Linked DNA regions of Xenopus tropicalis. The protein of the gene in region 2 interacts with the protein of the main gene of each other region in a biochemical or structural test. Links are inferred from orthologs where the notes say so. Each region holds a gene or a part of one and is shown on either strand. Other genes may lie near its edges.

Region 1 (3,170 bases), on a different chromosome or scaffold from region 2:
TGGCATGTAACAGCTTTAATTGTTCTCTTTTGCAGTAGAGGAGCGAAGTCCTTTGGAGCTGGCAGACAGTATGCAGTCAGATGGACCGCGATCATGCAAATTTGGGCGTCACTGGTACCCTAATAATGAGCGCTGGCATCCAACTGTGACACCCTTTGGAGAGATGAAGTGTGTTACATGTGCTTGTGTGGTAAGTTGAAAGCTGGAGAGGAAATACATAATTGGGTTAAAAGAAGGCAAAAGCCCTCTAATGGAAAATATAGAATAACTACTTTAACAGTGGGAGAGAAATGTTGCTGGTGGAGAATTATTTATGGCAACAGGGAGAGGCCCAGGTAGAAACTTTATAGAAGGAAGACAGAAAGAGCTTTGGTGAGAATGAGGAGAGCTTAAACAATTTAAAAAAGGCATTGAAATGGTGCAGTGAAGCATAAATAGTGCAAATGAAAAAGACTCTTTTAGAAGTGTGTCTGAAATATAATATGTGATATGTATTCACAGGAGGGAGTTACACAGTGTCGGAGACAGGAGTGTACAGGAAATACATGTGGTACTGGTTCAAAGCGGGACAGATGTTGCACCAAGTGCAAAGGTAAGTTTACTTCAGCCCCTCACTATAAAATAAAGTATTGCAGTATACTAGTTTGAGCGATACTGCAGTACTCTTGTTAATTCTTCCCCCCCACCCTGTCTTTATCTCTTCTAGTCCAAACCTTGTGTAGCCAACATCTGGATTATATTTTTATGGTAGTGACTTATTTTTGCTGGCAATGTTGCAATTGTCACTATTAGTATTGTTAATTATTGTTATACCATTTGACAGTGTGAGAATGTTTGCCATTTGCTATGGCATATCACCTGCATCTTGTGCCAGATGTGATGTAACTGATGGAAAGGCTAATTTAGTAATACTTGTCATAAGCCATAGGCATTTTAAAATGGCACCGATTAACATACAATACAGACTTCCTCCTGGTCCCAAGGTCTGTTTTTGATTGTATCAGTAAATGCATTTTAAGATTTAAATCCATTTTAACAAGCCAAAATGTGGCTTAGTGCTTGTATCATATGAAATCGGTGTTCCAATCTTTACTGAGCACATGTGTCAGAGCTTTGGTTTAGGTTAGGTTTGCCACGTGGGCAGCATATTTACATGCTAGCAAATTCTGTCACAGCATCCCAGTACATTGTGGGTCTCTGCTTTATTGTGAGAATGCATTTTGCATTATTTTGGCTTTAGCAGTTGCTGTAGATTTTCTTACCTTTAATATATGTTTCTTACAGTGCCCTAGTAAACATGTGTTATGTCCGAATAAAAGTGTTTATGCAGAACATGCCATCAGTACCCCCATACACTGTAAATTGTATCTGTTACAGATGGGCAAAAGTAATTATATGCACACATGTGTACCTTGTGCTACTTTTATGTCACATTGCCTTGTTATTTTATGTCCACTAACTTAGCCTTTGTGATTCTCTTAAAGATGCCAAGCAAGATGAAGATGAAAAGGTGAAATCAGAGGAGACAAGGACTCCGTGGAGTTTCTAGAACGGAGTGCAACTGGGGCAATGGGACTGATTATCAAGGCTCATACAGGCAAGCCCCCAAGCCAAAACAACTGCCAGGACTCATGGATGGTCTGCACAATGTTTTGTCCCACTCTGATGACACTGCTACTGGATTATCTCCTTTTGTTTCATTTGCTGCCATGAAGCAGTGGGATTCTAGAGGCAGCATTTGGAACTAAAATACCTTGCCACCTTGGATTCATCCTTTCAAACACCCAGTCTGTCTTTCTGACAGAAGCAACTCTAAATCCTGCCTAAACAGGACCTGGAGTTTTAACGTCTGATCTGTAGAGTTATGCAACAGGAGCACAGGCACAGCATAGGTAGCTGTGCATATGTAGATATATTGACTAAAAGTGCCCTGTGGCTTTCTGCAGGACGGGAAGAAAAGTACAAGTGACAGACAAAGATTACAGTGTGCTTGCTGGAAAGTCTGTATATATGTCTGCGTGTGTGAATGTGTGAACGCATGATGTTACTTTGAGGGTGTATGAACAGACATATATCATTTCCTATTGTCCAAGCACACTCTTTGAGGAACTTTGTCTTGTATTATTTATGGTATTTTGAGTGGGTGCGGTACCTGTACTAATTAACTATTAATGATGGTCATATTTATTGAACTAAAATAAACTGAAGAAATTTTCCCAGTAATTGTTTTTCTATATTTTATTGGACATGGATAGAGAAGAAGGAAGTGTATATAAGAGGGAACTGGTAGGGGGGATGTCCTGAGTAATGCAAAGTCGTTCATTAATGGGCACATTCTACATTAAATGGCCAATATCCTGTCTGTGTTTTTAATTCATAAATTAAGAGGGATGCTGCAAATTCAGGATTCAGTTTAGGATTTGACCAAATCCTTAAAATATTTGCAGTATTTGGAAAAATATTTACGGTTTGGATTTAGTTCAGTTGAATGCTTAAAGTCATGTGACTTTAAAGCTCTGAACAACTGAATAAAATTATTTTTTGTTCACAGATGAAGCAATTTTTTTTATTAATTTCAAATGTGAATATGCAAATTAGGCTTTGGATTCAGTTTGATATTCAGCCTTTTTTAAGTATTTGGTATTCTGGTGTTTTCTCTGAATGTGAACATTTTAGATGAATTATTTTTTCCTGTTTTGAGCCATAGAAACTGTCTTATTTGTGCAGTGATGAATTTTCTCAAATCATTTTAAGATCAGATGAGAATAAGACTAGACATGGTGATTTTCCAAAATCTAGTCCAATGAGGTAGCCTGTTAGAAGAGGGAATATATTTGAAATATTAGTGAAGACGGAAATGAAGAAGTGATTTAAGACACTTTACGAGCATAAGTACTAAACTCACAACTACTGCTAAAGTGGTAATTGCACTATGGCTTTTGCAGTACAGGTGTGTATGGCAGAAAGATGCCCAATTAACATTGTTATCAACAAGTCACCCCAAATAATGATAAAAATAATAAAAACATTGTACTGGGGGAAGCATATTATAGCAGGCAACCCCATGTTTAGAGTGAAATGCAACAGACAGGGCAACATGTAAAGAGTATGACCAGATGTGATCCCATGCCCTGGGATCCTGCCCTTAATGGCTCATTATTCATGCCCAT
Region 2 (3,832 bases):
CTATTCTGCTATATAATATATTTTTTAAAAATTTGTACAGCAGCTGCTGCATCGTGCCTATGTCTGTGTAGTGCAGGGAGAAGTGAAGCAGCAGTCCAAGCAAGGAAGAACAAACATATTAGACAGGTGGCACATATATGCCCAATGCCCCAACAGTGTAGTTAAAAAAACAAGTTTTGGATGAGTAGTGTGTATATCCGTGTACCCTGACGTAGATAATATGCTTAAATGGGGATTTGATTTTTTATGTATACACTACCTGGAAAATTCCATTTAAAAAACAGCTTTGAGAGAACAGTACTTAAACATATGCTCCCCTACTACAGTTATATTATCCACCCACCCAGAAAGCATAATCTCTTCTTCATTATAGTCATTATTATAGCTCTATCCCATGGTACTGACCTCAAAGGACTGGAATGAGACTCCGACATGGAACCCGTCAGACACACTCAGCTTCCACACGCAGGCCTTGTTGGGTCTGTAATCGTCTGGGTAATTTGGGGACTGGATGTGACCAGAGTCTTTCTTTACGTCTCCTCCACACAGTGCTGCAAAAGTGAGAACGTTCAGATACTTAAGACAAGGTTGGACAAATTGGATCTAGTTAAAATGTTCAGGAAGTCAAGTGTGTTGGGGTATAAATAATAATGGGGGTAATGCAAAGCCGTAGAAGCAGGTGATGCACTTTAGAAGTCTTGGGACCAGGCAGAGATGAAACTCTGCACAAATGCTTAATTTCAGGCCTCATCACAAGGAGAACATTAAATTAGTAGCAGTCTTTGCCAAACCTTCTCCGAGGTCCTTGAGGACTCTGATTTCTCATTCTGTAATAAAGCCACTACTGTAGTCAATCAGAGGGCAGGCAAAGACTTGGAACTTTTACAGGCCAAGTTTTGCTTCAGATGTGAATGCCAATGCAGACTGTAAGTTTATGGTGTGTTTTAAGTGAAAGCATGCTACATTTCTGGGTTCCTGCTTCACCAGCATGTCTGACTTTCACAAGGAATGCTCCAGCATCTCATGAATTCATTAAATAAGCAAATAAACCATACTGGTTAGGGTGAGACATGTACCTTCTTAAAACAGAAGGCATTTAAATGCCTCTTGCTATACACATAGCACTACCTTAAAACCAAAAATGAAAGGCTTTAACCTTCACTTACACAATTGTGGGTGAAGACATGCAAATTACTCCTTAATGTTCTTGTGGCCATGTATCCATGGGGACCATAAGGAGTCATTTGCACGTCTCTGCCCATAATTCCTTACGTTTAAACCCTCTCGGTTTGGCTTTTTTAGACAGTGCCATGTGTGTAGCATGGGGCATAGGGATACCTTCTGTTTTAAGAAAGCTCTCGGTGCTTAAATTGTATAACAAAGACTACAGGTATTCTGGAAGCCAAGAGGCCCAACCTCCTTGACATTTCTAAATATCCAAATATTGTTTGATGTTTATTTTGTTTACCAGCATATTTTCAATTTTCCTGTAACCATCAGGTTCTGTTGGGTTAATTTACATCTCACTGAATCACCCTCTAAGGACTCCCATTTTTTTTCCTCATAGCCACATAAGCTATTCTCCAGTGTATGCTTTCTCTAGTAATGACATATTTATTCCCTTCATCCACAGCATGCAGTAAGTGCTATCATGACTCACCATACTAGACAGGGTACATGGAAATAATGGGATCATTTTAGGGATATCCTTAGTTCAACTGCCAACCATTGACCCCTGTTAGGTTAATCATAATGGTTTTACAGCCTGTTAGTCAGTTAGGCATGCATGATTCCAGCGGCCACCCTTTCTCATATGGTTTGGGCTTGTTTAACATTACATACATATTAAGAACAACAGTGCCAAACCCAATGTTTAGTGGTTCCTATAGAACACAATCAAAGTCAGAAGTTGTTGTGAAGAAGTTCAAAATGGTAACTCAAGGACAAGTAGATTAAGAAGTCTAACCTTCTTGGTCATGTGTAAAAAAAGGTTCCATTCTAAATTTATTAGTAGTAGTTGTAGTAAAGTCATGTAAAGCTGATTCTGCATTTCTCTGCAGGGCGAGAATCCGCCCCTGTGCTTAAAAAATCTGATCGGATGCAGGCACCGAATTTGAAGCAAGACTGCTTGTGTATGCCCAGTGTGGCATTAGCCTAGTAATGCAACATTATGCTTTCCCCTGCTAAAGCTGGGGGTGAAATATCTGGGGGTAATGCAAGTCAAGTCTCCCACCACTATTCTGTGTCCTTTCTTTTTGTTTGCACTGGAAAAAAAAAGCTTTGGAACCACTAATTTAAAATCTTTGGAAACTGTTGGGGGAAAGGCAGGATGTGCTGCAGAATCTTAGGAACAGGAAATAGGACAGCGACATATAGTGGAAATGAAAACCAATTCAAGAAAGTTATGGGAGGAAACCCAAGACAAATACATTAGTGGGAAAGTGAATCAAACTGGAGTGGAAAGTGGAGCAAAGTGGAAAGAAAAACAAGTAGGTATGTGAGATCTAGACTAGGTTAGGTGCTGAGTCATAAAGGATGTTATAGCATTCAGCATGGAGGGCCTTCCTTGTTCCCACCATAAACAATACATTCCTTTGCCTGTGGTTATGCCCAGATGTGATATCCCTGTAAGAACAATAGCCAGTGCATACAAATAAGTCCAGGACCCACATAAATGGAGGAAATGATGTTGTACTGCATCACCAAAATATATATTTATACAGAACGCAGTGCACAAAAGGACTTCAAACACATTAGGGCTCATCTATATCCACAAGCGCAGTTGTGTTTCCCCACTTGCATTTAAATGCTCTCCTTGCAATTCTCTATAGTTGCACTTGGTGCCTTTTAGTCCCTTCTGCCTTCTGTTCTGAATCAGATGCCTGTTGACACATGGAAACCCTGGACCTACCACCATCCCCTGACCAGGCAGTAGCTAGGGTTGCCACCAGTCCGGTTTTGACCCGGACAGCCCAGTTTTCATAGCCCCACCCTGTGACATCAATGTTCCCACCTCTTCTCCGCCCCGTGTTTGTCACCACCTGCCCCATGCCCGGTGAAAAAAGATGGCAGAGGTGGCAACCCTTGCAGTAGCTCCAATGTTCCCTTCACACCCAGTGTCCATAGGCGTAGCACACTTGTGCCTGAAGATATCATGGATATCACTAATGTGACAAACACAGAGTTACACGCAATTGCATGTGGTTTACAACAGTGTGTGCAGTTTCAGTAATTTTGCCAATCTGACATAATTCGGCAGGCACAGCAGAACTGCGGCCACAATGACACCAAAATTTGGGAAAAAACATGGCGATTGCACTTTGCTCACTGTACTTGCCTATGTACGTGAGCCCTATAGAATTTTCTGCTGCAGCCCGGGGGAGGGGGGGGGGGTTATTTGTTCAGATCCCAGATTTGGTAAAAAAAAAAAAAGCTATATTTTTCAACTTTCATTGTAGTAAATATTCATAAATATTCCTATTTTAATTATAAAAAGGCAATACGACTCCTTTAAAAAGTTATTGCATGTCAAAAAGTTGGTATGTCTGCAGCAGCACAGGTCATAGCTTGTGGAAATGTTTAGCTGCAGTCTATAGAACAAATATGCCTTCTGGAAAAACACGAGGAGTGGATACCACAATTTGCAAGGCTATCAATGCTACGTTTCAACTGCAATAACTGCTGAATGAAGCATTTCCCAGCATTCAGTGGGAAAAAGCGCTATAAGGTAATACTTTTTCTTAAAGGGGGCAGTGTACTCCTTATTCAGTATGGTTTCAATGTATAGGGCTTGTGCTGGACATAGCCAAAAAATAGGCAATAAGTAAGGCAA

The links.
Region 1: of the proteins of bmp1 (region 2) and chrd.1, one has a biochemical effect on the other in vitro, tested with the Homo sapiens proteins (3 studies listed by BioGRID and IntAct). The link is inferred for Xenopus tropicalis from reciprocal best matches to the Homo sapiens genes BMP1 and CHRD.

Annotation. Positions count from the first base shown.
Region 1 is NC_030681.2:99,630,431-99,633,600, forward strand, and holds the end of chrd.1 (chordin), read left to right. Parts: intron 1-35; coding exon 36-190; intron 191-501; coding exon 502-592; intron 593-1,484; coding exon 1,485-1,549; 3' UTR 1,550-2,358; downstream 2,359-3,170. UniProt on the Homo sapiens protein: Dorsalizing factor. Key developmental protein that dorsalizes early vertebrate embryonic tissues by binding to ventralizing TGF-beta family bone morphogenetic proteins (BMPs) and sequestering them in latent complexes.
Region 2 is NC_030679.2:129,645,604-129,649,435, reverse strand, and holds part of bmp1 (bone morphogenetic protein 1 precursor), read right to left. Parts: intron 552-3,832; coding exon 406-551; intron 1-405. UniProt on the Homo sapiens protein: Metalloprotease that plays key roles in regulating the formation of the extracellular matrix (ECM) via processing of various precursor proteins into mature functional enzymes or structural proteins.